Linked DNA regions of Alligator mississippiensis. The protein of the gene in region 2 purifies or fractionates together with the protein of the main gene of each other region. This does not show direct contact. Links are inferred from orthologs where the notes say so. Each region holds a gene or a part of one and is shown on either strand. Other genes may lie near its edges.

The links.
Region 1: the proteins of SLC30A4 (region 2) and PDS5A purify together in Homo sapiens (affinity purification with mass spectrometry; 3 studies listed by BioGRID and IntAct, counting the BioPlex papers as one, with this or other methods). This does not show direct contact. The link is inferred for Alligator mississippiensis from reciprocal best matches to the Homo sapiens genes SLC30A4 and PDS5A.

Annotation. Positions count from the first base shown.
Region 1 is NC_081825.1:51,099,955-51,107,140, reverse strand, and holds the start of PDS5A (sister chromatid cohesion protein PDS5 homolog A), read left to right. Parts: upstream 1-4,129; 5' UTR 4,130-4,330; coding exon 4,331-4,357; intron 4,358-4,438; exon of another isoform or gene 4,439-4,554; intron 4,555-5,017; coding exon 5,018-5,188; intron 5,189-7,186. UniProt on the Homo sapiens protein: Probable regulator of sister chromatid cohesion in mitosis which may stabilize cohesin complex association with chromatin. May couple sister chromatid cohesion during mitosis to DNA replication.
Region 2 is NC_081834.1:19,129,411-19,136,776, reverse strand, and holds the start of SLC30A4 (probable proton-coupled zinc antiporter SLC30A4), read right to left. Parts: upstream 3,009-7,366; 5' UTR 2,874-3,008; coding exon 2,498-2,873; intron 1-2,497. UniProt on the Homo sapiens protein: Probable proton-coupled zinc ion antiporter mediating zinc import from cytoplasm potentially into the endocytic compartment. Controls zinc deposition in milk.

The DNA.
Region 1 (7,186 bases), on a different chromosome or scaffold from region 2:
ACATGGATGAATACCAATTTTATACATCCAAGTTTTGATTTACTTTAGATAAGTTTTTCCAGAGCTTGTCTCTTGACTTAGTTTTTTTGGTTGTTTTTTTTTTGTTTTTTTTTTGTTTTGTTTTGTTTTTTGGCATAAAAATAAAAAGCTAGATCTGATGAAACAGTGAATTCAGGTTTATCCCTCTAAGTTGGGGAGTACTGTGGCAGAGCACCTTTGGGGTGCTCACCATGTGGAAGGGGCTGTAGTAGGCTGGGACAAAGCCACTAGAGCAGGCAGCCAAGGGAAACCCCTGAATGTCAATTTTAAGGGGGGAGGTGTGTGGCAGAACACCTTTGGGGGTGCTTGTCACTTGAGAGCTTTCATGGGCTCTGAAGGGAGCCTGCTTTGGAGGAGCAGCAGTGGAAATCTCCTCAGGAACTATTTTAAGGGGGAAGGTGTGTGGAAGGGCACTGTTGGTGCCTGCCACTTTAAGAGTGGAGCCAAACAGCCAGCAGGTGCTTGATTGTGGTGGCCATTTTAGACTTCTGGCCACCTATATAAACAGGGCAGTTAGCTACTGGCAAGCCAGGCAGTAATATTGTCTGGTTGCTAAGACTCTATGCAACATTCTGGAGGTAAGGGCAGGAGCTGAAGGGGATGGTTTGGAGGTTCCTGGGCATGACCTAAAGCTGCACTGTGCCAGGAGTGGGTGGCTTGGTGGGGCTCTGTGGTGCAGAAACACCCAGGAAATGCCAAGCCTATTACCACCCTGGTGAAAGGCAGGTAGGGGCGCCTTAACCCTAGCCCTCATCTTCGGGTGGGTTATTTATCATTGGAGATAGTGGGGCCAGCATGGCTGGAGCTGCCCGAGCCCTGTGGAATGAGAGTGGGGGCCAGGCATGGCTGTGGCCACCTGAGCCCTGTGGGGTGTAGGACCCTGAGGAGAGGTAGTTGGGGCCAGGTATGGCTATGGCCACCTGAGCCCCAGTGAGGGGGTGGAGATGTGGCGCCCCAGTGTGGGTGGTGGTGTGAGATGTGGAGCCCAGTATTTTCTGAGTGTACAGAGTTACCCTGGGAAGGGACCAGAGCAAGTTTAGACCTGGTTGGGTAATTGGCTGGCCACTACCCCGGTGAGTGTTGTGGGATAGGCCCAAAAGATGGTACATCTGCTACCCAAGGTATGAGCTTGCTAAGAGCAAAGCAGTATAAATATAAGTTGTCGACGTGTGTGTGGCCTGACAATGAGGCCTAAGCTTGGTCCGGCTGTAAGCCAGGAGCATTGTCATCTGGATGCCATCTGCAAGGCTTGGGCTGCGGTGTAGGGAAGGAACGGAGCTGCAGATGGCACCCCTGGTATTGGGGCAAGAATGGGCAGCCTCCTGCCTTAATTAACAACAAGGCATGGCAGGAGAGACGGGTAGGTGGCATGCCCAAAAGCAGGCAGGGAGACTAGCACTGTGGCCCACTTTGCCACATACTGTAGCTATTTAAGAATGGAAGTGTAGAACTCAAAACTTAATTACAAAGATATATTATTTAAAAAAAAAAAAACTTGTCAGTTCAGACTAAATTAATTTTTTTTGTCTGATTTCTATTATCAATAAGATACAGCTGCATTTCATTTAAGCCAGGGTGTATTCCACTACACTATATCCAGAAGGATTAACTGTGGTGCAGCTCTGATCTACCTTGTCATTGAAGTCTGGACTGAACAAAAACAATCTAAGTACATTCTGTGGCTTTTGGATAACTCTTTTTGATGACTTTGCAATCTGGGCCTCTACCTGACCATGTAGCTACCAATATATTCCAACACTAAAGCCCATGTGTTTCCAAACCAGTTAAATCTGTGTAGCATACAGTTACCCTCTCTAGGTCTGGGTTCTACAAGGCACTCATTCAGGCTCAGACCTTTTGCCCAGTACCTTCCTTGTGATATCTGACCTCATTGCTCTGCCTCTCTAGACTCCTAAAAGCATGTCTGAGACCTCCTTAGCCTTGTCAGTTTTTTTTCTTTTCTCCATGACTTCCTCCCTGCTTCTGCATAGGCTAAATGGGTACCTACTAGTAACTACTTGAGAGAACATGCTTAGCAAAGGAAATTCTTATCTACAGAAACTTTATTCAAATACTTGAAGGGTTTTACATCTTTGAAAACAATGTATTACCCTTCTCTGGTCTGATCCCATGTCCTCTCATGTATCTGAAGTTTGTCAGCATTTGAGTGTAGACAGAATCTCTCCTGTTCTCACCATCCTGTCAGATTTTCTTACAAGTGGTGATGGTCAGTCTCTCTCCCTGAAGAGAGTTGTACTTAATTCTTAAGCAGGCCTGTCTCTCTACCAAGCCTTCCATCAAGAAACTCCAGTCATGCTTGCATCCCTCCTCCACCTTTTAAAAACTTTCATGTAGAAAGCTTGTATTGTTCCATGGGGATGGGCCTGTAGCTTAGTAGGCAACCAGCCATCCTTCTGGATCATGGTGTATGCATGAGAAGTCATCAGGACCTTTGAAATATATGTCTAGACAGGAGTGTGGAGGATGCCAAGACTCTCCATCCCCTACCTTTAGATGACTGAGATGGGTATCCAAAGGCCAGACTGGGTCTAGATGGTTGGTGCCTCAATAGCTGTAGTTATATGCATGTTTGAGAATCAAACCCTGATCTCCCACATAGTAGTTAAGGATTCTACCAGTGAACCAAACAATGGGTAAACTATTCCACACTGCTGTCAGCTCTGATACCGCACAGACCTAACACCACCTGCCACAAGGTAAGCAGAGGAACCATGGCAGCCAATGTCCTGCTTCTATGAAATGTTAATACATGCTCAAGATACCCGAGTAGGGAGCTCTGTTCCCCATTACATGGGGCATGGAAGGACCTTTCTGTGTTTCTATAAAAAGGTCCTTCATGTTATATATAAATTCCTTTCAAAGATCTGCAGTGATAGCAATGCCTTGGACATATGCTGGCTGATGACGTACGTATGAAGAATAACTTGGATACAGTGTGCATTACTTAAGTGTAACTACCATAGGCTAATGATTTCAAGGGGTGCCTTGAGATCTTTTCAGGAGTATTACACAATATTAGCACTGTTGAGTGTGCAAACACAAATCACAGGATAAACTTGAGGCTTTCAGATGGGAATCTATTGTATTCAAACCATTTTGACCAGTCATGGGCTTTCTGGAGTTCCGTGCCACAAATAGAGAACTAGGGTTGGAGGGGACCTTGAGGTCATCTAATCCAACCTCTGCTCAAAGCAGGACCATCCCAGACAAGGCTTTTTTTTTTTCTTTCTACCCTGGTCTTAAAAACCTCTAAGGGCAGAGACACTGCAAACAATGGCTAGTCTGTTCCAATGCTACCTTCCTTGAGAGAGGGTTTTTTCTAATCTCCAACCTAAACTTCCTTTGATTTGTATTCTCCCCCCCAGTCAAAATGTGAGTGACAACTAGGAGCTGGCAGGTTCCAAGAGCTGCCTTGAGGATGAAACGCTGGAGAACCGCTGCCCAGAAGTTGCCTCGGCCAGGCCCGTCTTCAGCCAGCAGGCTCTGCGGACCAACACGCCTGGCTTCTTCCCTGCTTGGGGAGAGCCCGGATCCACCACAAACAGGGGCATGCTCCTCGCGCCGATCGCAGCCCAGCAGCAGCGACGGGTCCAGCTGAGACGAAGCATTCGCGGGCCAAAGAGGCCTCCCACGCGGGCTCTCCCCTGCCCGCGGCTCTGCCGCAGAAACCGACTTACGACCCGCGAAGCCTGGACTCGCGGCGGAGACTGTGGCGCCGCCGGGAGGGGAATGCCCGCACCCTGGCGCGGCCCACGGGGGGCGCCCCGGCCGCGGCAGCAGGGGCAGGGCCCGGCTGAGGGAGCAACCAGCACCCGCGTCTCCTGTGGCTCCTCGCGGCCCCCGGCCCGGACCGGGCCCTGGTTTTGGCGCCAAGCGGGAGGCGGCGCCGCTGCGGCCGGGCCCCGCGCCCCAGCCCCAGCCCCGTCGCTGAGCAAGCCAGCGCGGGCTGAGGGGCCGGGCGCGCCCTGCAGCTGCTGGGGCGGGGCAGGGCGGGCGGCAGCGCGGAGCCTCCTCCTGGGCTGTCCTTCCCCGGCCGGACGGAGAGCGGCACTGTGTCCCCGCGGCGCGGCGCGGCGCACGCTCCGCCGGAGCCTCCCCCTCGCCCCGCTCCTGCCGCCGCCGCCGAGCAGCCTCCCCCGCCCCCTCCCTGTCCCCGGGCCCGAGCCGCGGAGCACGGAGGCAGCGGGCGCAGGCGGGGCGCCGGGCGGCCGGTGGCGGAGCCTGTAGCTGCGGCCGGCGCGGAGGAGGCGGCGGCGGAGGAGGCTGCTCCATGCTGCACCTTCCGGAGCTGCATGAGGTAAAGGCGGCTCCGCTCCCCCGGGCGCGGGGCCAGGGCCCTTTGTGGGCGGGCGCGGGGCTGCGGCCGCCCGAAGTTGAGGGAAGAGGCGTAAAGTGGCGAGCGGGCCGGGCCGGCTCCCCGGGGGCCCCTCCCGGGCAGCCGGGCCGGACCGGGCCGGGCCGGGCCGGGGGCGCGAGGCCGGGCCGGGCGCCGAGGTTTGTGCTCCCGGCCGCCCCCGGCGGCTCCTCCGCCTGCCCATAGTTTTGAGGCCTAATTGTTTAGGCCTCGGCTCCCGGCTCTGGGGCCGCCTCCGAGCACCCCGGGGCCTGGCCGACCCCCCGCCGCGCTGCGCTGGGCCAGGCCGGGCCTCCCGCGCGGGGCCTCCTGCCATCTGGGCCCAGCGCTCATTGTACGCGGCGAGGCTGCCAACTCCAAGCGCCGCCGGGCTGGGGCTGCCGCTGCGCCGCGCAGGGAGGCGCCGGGGGGAGGGGGGCGGCCAGGACTCTTCCCGGTGGAGGCGTCGGCCCTGGCTGGCGGCTGGTGAGGCAGGGGGCCCGGGGGCAGGCGGGTGCCTGCTCGCCGAGCAGTGGGGCCTTCTGCGAATTGAGGTTTAGACCTGGAAAAAGAGGGTTAGAAAGTCGCTGCCATTCCGCTGAACTTTTGTTTTCTGACCGATAGAGGCCGGTAGAGGACTGTGCAGACGGAAAGTTTCTCACCAGCGGCCCCAGGATGGACTTCCCTGCTACCCAACCAAAACCTCCTAGCGATGGGAAGATCATCTGCTACCCTCCCGGAGTGAAAGAGATCACGGACAAGATCACCAACGACGAGGTGGTCAAGCGTTTGAAGGTGAGTGCACCCCTCCCCCCAGCAACATTTGTCTCTAAGCACTACCCAGAGCAGGCATTTTTGTCTGGGCTCCGGCCTCCCGTTTTCTTGTATTCAAGGTGCCTATTCCTTGTCTGGTGAGCCTTGCAGAAATATTTACTGTTTTCGCTTTTCTTCAAAGGGCCACAAGTTGCTTTTGTTAATCATGGTACCATTTTACCTTGTTCATGATTTTATGTGTTTGCTTCAAGTGCTGATGGGGTTCAAGTAGCAGTGGGCTAATTTGTTTATTGTTTTGCAAGCTAATGGTTTAAACGGGCAGGAACTAAGTCCAGCATGGTTTGAAGGGGGTGTTAGGAGTAGAATTGTAAGTGTGAACTACATGAGACTCAGGCTTTGTGGTAGATGTGCAGGTTCTTCTGGGTTCCTGTGTTTTGAAATGTATGTTGTAGAACAAGTGTGGTTGTGATGCGCTGGGTTAACCACAGTACAGAAAAGTCATTCAGCTTTAGGAGGCCAAATGGCTGTTATTCGTTATAAAGTTAATAATTGTTCATTTTATAATGTGTGTTAGATGCATAGAAGTTGGTTTTCTGGAGTGTCAGGATTGGAAAAAGAACAGATTGTCCATGAATTATACAGAGAGGTATAGTTTGGCGTTCTCTGACTATTTAGTGTAACTAAGTAATTCTGTAAGGTCAGTAGACTTTCATAAGTAAATGCATGTTTAGTTGCATTAAATGGTCAGTATTTCTTTTGCATTTGAGAAAGAGTTTAAAGCCAGAAGTAAACCTGCAGGGTTCTCTGAAATTCAGGAAAAAGAAGAAACAACGCACTTTTGTGACATTGCCTTCGCAAAGCATGCAAATAGAACATCTCAATTTTTAATGGCACAAAATAATTATTTTTAAGTATATGCAAAAAATAGCGATGGAAGGCAATTATCAATCAAATATCAGAGCAGCTCAGTTATTAACGTTGTGGCCCAGAAGCTCATGCAAAGTTGTCTAGGATTTGGTTTCATGCCCAGTATGTACAATACTGTGCACTTCTAGGAGACTTCTGCCCTGTTCTCTCCATCTCATTTTATTGTGCATCTCCCTTCACTGTAGTAGCTGGCTGCTTCACAAGAACAAAAAATAACAATTCCTTTTTTTTGGTGGAAGCCAGTGAGCTAGATAGATGGGCTAGTTTTATACTTGATCAAAAAAATTACTTGCGATTGAGGAGGGAGTATGACACATGAATAAATTATTCAAAGAACTAAGCTTTACATTTTGTCCTTAAAGCTGCAGAGCCTGTGGCTATGTCTTGTGTAAGTGAGTTCTATAATCCAGTTGCAGCTCCTGTGAAAATTGTGCCATTTGCATGCACAGATGTCAACTAACATAATTTTTTTCTTTGTTCCAATGGAACATACTTTTGGAATGGGTTTGCTATAGAAAAGATCTGTTAGCTATAGTAAGTCCTAGCTCTGCAGAGCTTTGAATGCTAGGGCAGAGGCCTTCAGCTGAGCTTGTAGTGTTTGGGGAGCCATACAGCAAGCAGAATGCATGGGTGAAGTGTTCCTGGTAACCTGTGTTGCTAAGTAGATGCTGTGTTTTGTATTAGTTGGAGCTTTTCAGAGTGTGCAGTGCCAATTACAGTAACAAAGCCTCAAATTCATGAATGTATATATTACTGTAGCCACGTCCCTTCAGACACAACTTGTAGCACATGGAAATGGGTGTTTCCTTTTCCTGTTTTGGCTATTTGGTGATCCACTAATGTTGAGGAGTTCAAAACCATCCAAAGAGTGCAGACTAACTTGCTATACGTAGTATTTTTTTTATTTTTTTTTGTATATTAAGGGATATTATAATGGAGGCGACTGCTTCCAAGCATTTCTTTCTTTCCATTGGTGCCACCTTAGTCTGGCCAGATCTTGATTTTACTTAAACATTAGGACAGCTAGAAGATGATGTTACCAGCAAAGTGCTACCCTTTTTCAACTAAAAGACTTAAAGCTCTCATCCTTTT
Region 2 (7,366 bases):
ACCATAAACACCATATTTAAATCTGCTATTTAATTGGAAAGTGAAGGAGACTTAGGGCCACTTGATGGCTTTTTGAAAAACTGATCCAGGGATGTTTGTTTTATTGCCCTCTCAATCTCATTGTAAATTTCCCTGTAGCGCGCATAAGCATTAGAGATCAAGTTGTTGGTCTTTGAGAATCTCTTGAGGGTTGGTCCACCCCCCTGATCTGTGATACTGATGGCCTGGGCAAAGGTTCTTCTAAGGTAGTAAGCCTTAAAAGATGCAATACATAGGCTGGAGCCTTAAAAGCTGGTCCATAGGCTGGAGCAGCGATGTTGCTGGGGGCAAGAAAACAACCTTGATGTTAGGGTCTAAACCTGCAAGGTGTGCAGGATGCCCAGGGGTATTGTCTAAAATTAACAATGCTTTATGTGCAAAGCTGTTCCTTTCACAATAATTCTGAACAGCTGGCACAAAATAGTCAGTGAACCAATCCTCAAAAAGGGCTCCAGTCACCCAAGCTTTACGATTTGATTTCCAGATGACTGGAAGGCTGCCTTTAACATAACCCTCAAGTGCTCTGGGCTTTTTGGAGTGATAAACAAGCAAGGGTTTGAGCTTGAAATCACCCGCAGCATTTGAGCCAAGCAAAAGGGTAAGCCTATCTTTAGGTGCACTGAATTTTTCATCTTTGGATCCCTCACCATGTTGTTGCTTCACGTGTCAAAAAGACTCAAAGCCTTGGCTTGAATGGTGGCTAAACTCAATGGCACACAGCACTGAGTTTGATCCTGAATCCACAAAATTAAAAGTCTTTCCATCTCAGCCACAAGTCCTGCACATTGCCTTATAATAGTGGATTGCAATGAGGCTGAGCTTTTAATTTCACCACTTATTTTTTTCTTTTCTCTAATAATAGTTTGCACAGTAGTATGAAATAGGTCCAATCGCCTACCAATTTCAGTTTGCGACAAACCACTCTCACTAAGCTCAATCACATTGGCTTTCATGTCTAAGGTGATGACTTTTCTCCATTTCTTATCAGAACCCACACCATCACTAGAGCACTGCCTTTCCTTTTAATCAGCCATTTTTAAGGCAGAAACCCCTGCACTAAGAAATATCAGGAAGCCACTAAGCAGGAACCCCTGCACTGAGAAACAGCAGACTGAATACAGTACTGAATATAAAAAAGCTTAACACTAAGCACTAAGGACTTGCACTAAGAAACTTGCACATCAGGACTTGTACTGTATTGCCAAGTACAAGCTGCAAGGTTCTTGAATGGACACGGCTTGAATTTCACTTTCTATTACTTAGGTTTGCTCAAAGAGAGAACTCCCCTCAACACTGCAAAGGCATTACAGCCATAGACTACAATGGGCAGCTTGGGTTCTTTAATTTGGAAGTAGAAGAAACTCACACATCAGGACTTGCATATCAGGATGCTGGAGCACTGACTGAATGATGTATGGCGCTGGATTCTCGCATTTACAGCATGCCATAAGTGCGAGGATCAGCACCATAAGTAATAATGTAGGTGTAAAACGCAGAGCGCCGCAAGTGCAGATTGCTGCAAGTCGAGCCGCTGGAAGTCAAGGACTGCCTGTAGTGCACTGTGATAGTGCTCTTTTTTCAAAGCACTGCCTGCAACCTAGGGGGTTGTCAGTTACCCAATGGTTTGTGCTGCTGTATCAGAGGACAAGGAGCACAGATAACCAAGCTGACACACACATATCTCTTACAAACACTGGTATTCCGTGATAAGAGGGACACTGTGAACCTGAGAAGCCGCATTTCTGCCCCAAAACATTCCACCCCCTCCTATGATAAACAGTAAAGATGCAATAACTGAAAATACATGGAGAGGGAAACTATTTTCTATTTGCTTATGGTAATTTGACACATTTTTAATTAATATATTTCATGTTTCAGGTCAAATCAGCCAAATCATATTGAGTGAGCAGAACTCAATCGTTCCAAAAACCATATTGATTGAGCAGGCAGAACTCAATCAATCTAAACACCACGTACAGCGCTACAACCCCCGAGCATCTTCTCACACTGATGCTCCCAAATCCATCAGCAGGCGTCCTACCAAGCGTTTCGATGGTGACCCGATTTATTTTTCTTGCCAAAATATTTATTCCTATATTCCTTATTTTTTTCTTCTTTTCCCTTCTACATTCCTTTCTTGCCAAAGTATTTATATCTATATTCCTTTCTTTTCTTGCCAACTATTTATTCCTATATTCCTTACAATCTATGAACACACACACACACTCTCCCCCCCCCACGGCTCTGCCGAGGGCCCCCGCGGGTCACCTGGCAGCTCACAGCACACGGAAGGCCCGTTACACAGGTCGCCCCGCGCCCATCTCCTGACGACCCGACCCCGACCCCATCCCCGCCGACACCCCTTCCCCCCGGGCCGCAGCGCCCCACCTCCTGCTCCGCTCGCACCGAGTGAAGAGGCCGCCGCGAGCCCCCCACCCCCCGCCCCGGGCGCACTCACCGACGAGCTCCCCGGCCATGAAGAGGAGGTAGAGGACGGCGGCCAGACTCAGCCGCCTCTTCACCTTCGCCTGGCGGCCCCGCTCGCGCTGGCGACGGCAGCCGTGGCAGGGGTCGGGCCGGGCGCCGGGCGCGGCGCCGCGCAGCAGCAGGGAGTCGCGGTCGGGCGGCGGCCCGAGGTGGGCGCCGTTGGCGGGCGGCTCCGGCCCCGCGTCCGAGACGTCGTCGGACACCACGACGCGCAGCTTGTTGAAGCGGGGACAGTCCTCGGCCGCCTCGTCCGAGAAGTCGAAGGCGCTGGAGTCGTTGAGGAAGAGCGGCTCGTCGCGCCGCCGCAGCGCCGCCCGGATGCTGCTCCACAGCCGGGCCCCGGCCATCGCCGCCGCCGCTGCCAGGCGCCCTCATGCAGGCGGGCACCGGCGCCTCACGCCATGGCGGGCTCGGGCCTGCTGCCCGGCCGGCTCCTCACGACGCGGCGGCCGCGCTCCCCGCAGGCGAGGCGCGGCGCGGCGCGGCGCGGCGCAGCTCGCAGACGGGCCTGGCGGCGCTCGCACGCCGCCTGCCGAGGGGCGGGCCCGCGCGGCAGCCATGCGCCCGGTCCGGCCCGGCCCGCGGCTTGACCTGAGGGGCGCCCGGCCAGGCCCCTGCCTCCCGCGGCCCCTTTGTGGCTTCATAGTCTCAGTGCAGTGAAACGGCCTCGGATGGCTCTGGGCGCCCCGGGCCCCGCTTCTCCCGCACTCACCGCCCGCGCCTCGGGCCGCGGGGAGGCGGCTGCGCCGCGGCAGGGACAGGGACAGGGCGTGAAGCTGCTGGAGCCCGCGTGTGCGGCGCGGCGCTGCGGGCCCGGCTGAGTTACTGCCGTGGCATCTGTGGGAAGGAAGGCCGGGCTTTAGTCTGGCAACGGCATAAGCAGCTGCTTGGCTTGAGAGGGAGGACAGGCGTGAAAGCTTAACGGGATCAGAGCCTTTTTTACTAATGTAGCACGGCAGGGATGGGTGGTAACTCCTGCACCCCCTGCCAGTCTGTCAGCAGTTCTCCAGCGATGGGACCTCGTCTCGCCTGTGTTGCCAGACCAAGAATGTGTTAGTGGGCAGAGGGGCTCTAATTTACGGTCCAGTCTGGCAAAACTCTGTGTTGCATCAGGAGGCTGGGGGAGCACTGGAATGGGCTACCCAGGCCCACGGGTGGCTGGTGCCTCCTGAGCCTGGGGGGCACCCAGAGAAGCTGCCGGCAGCGGTGCGGGAACAGCATGTGCCCCCCCCACCAGTCGCCTACACCTAAGCCAGCGTTTCTCAGCCTGTGGGTTGCAAACCAAAAGCAGGTCATAAGAACATAGGAAAGGATCATGAACAAACTTTAAAAATGGATTCTTCTTTAAAGGAGAAAAACGTGGGAAACTGTGGTGTTTCCCCTGTGGGCTGGCAGAGTTCCAGCCTTCAGGGGGCTGCTTGGGGCCTCCGGCCCCACAAACACCCTTTCCCCCATACACCCACCCCCGCCCACACTCTGGGGGCAGCAGGTCAGGACTGAGGGGCACTGGGTCAGGACTGGCCATCAATTTTTTCAATTGGGTCCTGGTACAAAAGAGGTTGAGAACCACTGACCTACAGAAGTGGTGGGATCTCCATCCTTGGAGGTTTTTAAGCCTCGGCTCTACAAAGCCCTGGCTGGAGTCTTTAGTTGGGGCTGCTTCTGCTTTGAGCAGGGAGTTGGACTAGATGACCTCCTGAGGTCCCTTCCAGCCGTAACTTTCTATGATTTCTCCCCAGGTGTAAGGTTAGATGGTATGGCAAGGAAAATGGTTGCTCAGGTTACCTACCTATCCATGCCAGTATTTCATAGATCTATTTGCAGCATGGTTTAGAGAGTTTGACTATAAAAGCCCTAAAACTAAAATATGTTCTGTCAATACAAAGCCAATTTCTTTTCCACGCGCCTGCTTTGCTACACAGATAGGACTGATGTACGGCATACTTGTGTGCATAAAGCACCTATTGTATTTGTGGGTGTGGAATGTTAAGAAGTGCTGTAGGCTTGAGGGATTTACATCTATGGGTTACACGTTAAAGGATACGAATGTGCAGTGCCGGTCTGCTTCCACAGGAAAAAAAATTCATGCATTTTTCAACTGAAAATAGAGGCAAGGGTGATCTTCACATACTGTTTCAAATTTCTCTTCACCTGTTAAAACATTGGTGTCTTTTCTACATTTTGAGGGAAGCATGTCCATATCCCTTTCCTCGCAGGCAGCTCCCACACCGAAGCATCCTTGTGCCCTAGCCAGCCCCGTCAGTGTCTATACCTGTCACAGTGCACTAAACAAGTACACAACAGTACTTGTGTTTACAAGCACTCACCTACAGCGGTGTTTATTAGTTTACTGCAGCCTAATAGGGTTGCACGTGATAGAGGCTGAGACTTTACTGTGGAGCTAATTAGGCAACTCCACAGTAAACATCTCATGTAGATGTACCCTGAATCTAGTAATTTGCTGCCTCTACTTCTACTGAGAGGCAATTTCAGAATATCCCTGCTCTAGTAGTTAGAAACTTCCATGTCTTCAGCCTTTATTTATTCATTTACAAGTTTCTACCCACTTATTCTTGTGCCAATGTTGTACTTTGCATTTCTGATGTTTATATCCCTGATGTATTAATTGAGAACAGTCATATTTCCTCTCAACCTTGTTTGCTAGGCTAAAAACCAAACAAGAGCTTTTCATTCCTCTCCACTCCCCTGAGATGGGGGTGGGGCTCCAATCCACCTGCCCTGCCCCTCCAGTGCAGGCGGGGCAAATCCCAGATGGAAACCCCGTTCTGAAGACAGCACTGGGGGCAGTCTGAATCCTTGTGTAATGAGGATTCAGATTGTTGTATGATTGAACATTTTGAAAGCACTCTTCAGTCAGTGCATGACTGTAGAGCAGGGGTCCAATCACACAACAAACCGTCAGTATCAGTGCCCTATATTGTGGCCTTCCTTTCTTACCTCCACCTGGAACTTATTACAAAGCCTAGACTGGTGGCACCCTAGAAACAACCCAGCAGAAAAAGAAGTAATGTAACAAATGACACCTGATACAGAGGTAATTGCCTACCTGTTCACATTGTATCTTTTTGTCAGGCTATTTTAATACAACCAACACAAAACAACTTTATTCCCCTTCTTTTGCTGCTTGATTTCCTTTCTGTAGTCAGATGGGTCTTCCTCCAGTGATCCCCCCAAAGAATGCCTGTGGCAAAGACCGGCCCATTGGCTTCTAATGGGGATTTAATCTCTGTGATAACTTCTCTAGCCTCAGTTTCAACAGCACAGTGTTGTGTCAGCCATGCTAAAATTCTGTTCTTCTTGGGAGAGTTGTTATGGATAACTTGGGGTTTAGTTTTGGGACCCAGCTGTATCCTATATACCCTTTCATTCAGTAGGGCATTGAATTATTCCTCAAATTTATCAGCTCAAGACTCCCATTCTCTCTTCTTCCTTCCAGGTTTGTGGAACCAGACCAGGTCTCCTCTTTAAACTTTGCTCTTTAGGGTGTTACATAATAATCTTGACATTGTATCAAAAGCTTTCATCAGTTTTTCCCTGAAAGAGGTATGAGCATTTTCAACCTTGGATTCTAGGGTTTCTACATTGTCCAATCCTTTTGTTCTTCAGGAATTGCACGTAAGGTTTGCCAATATTCTTGGCTGATGCCCAAACTCGAGTATACTTTGTAATTCCAATGACTGCTCTTTTATAAGCTAACAAAAGGAAGGGGATATGCTAGTATCAGCTCCTGTGGTGCTGTTCTACAAAGATAGCCAGCTGAACCCCAAGAGTGCTGTTAAACTGTTTGCTACTGCACCAGTTAGTTTGTGGTTGTGCCAGAGTGGTGGAGGGTGTGTGATTCCTGCTACTGTCACAGCTTCAGGGTTGCTTATTGCTAAGTTTCTGGTCATCTTGCAAAAGCACCTGTAGCCATTAGAGAATACTGATTGCTGAACTCTGCTCAAACTTGAGTACATCAACTGCAACTCCACTGATACTCCCAATGGAGAAGCTGCTGGCTGGGGGTTCTCCCAGTCTTAGGGGACCCAGAAATCAAGCATCAGATTTTATGTACCAGTTTTCTACATCCTGCCTATATTTCACGCTATAGGGATCATCTCCTAGGTTAACTAAGATTCCTGCAGCCCAAGGTCCAGTGTTGTTAAAATCAAGACGTCCTCAAGCCATTCTTTTTCAATCTGTTGGGAAGAAACTAAGATGCCTGTACCAATCATTTGCTGTTTTTCAGTGTTGTCCTAAGGGGATGTTGCCTTTCAAAGTATCCGTGTTCCTTTAAAATTTATCTCAGGGGAACTTAGGGACAGTAAAAGTTAACTGTTTCCCATAGTGTTTGTGTTATTGCCAGTTTCCTTCTGGTTTTACAAACCACATTTATCAGATGTTCTGATAAACCAGATTCAAATTTCCTTTTCTGTCACACACATGGACATGGAACTACTACTTGGCACAGCACAATAAACAGTATTAAGTTCTGATCTTGCAGTTGGCTGGGTGCAGTTATCCAACCTGTCTGTCATTTGGGTTGAACGCAAACTATTTTTTTCTGCCTAGCCACTGAGCCAAAAAAAAAAAATCATTTAGTCATACAGCTTTAATTCCATGTACCTCTCCCAGGCTAACTTGTTCCACTCCCCTCTCTGTTATCTACACAAATAATGATACTCATTCAAGTTCATTTTCCATTGTCTCTATTCCCAGACCCACTGCAACTTCAAATCCTAAACAATCTAAATGTCACTCTATGTCCAGATATTTGCCCCCATTGCTTACCTAGTTCTTTTTCCTACACCCATACAATAGTTTGTACCTTTTCTATCTG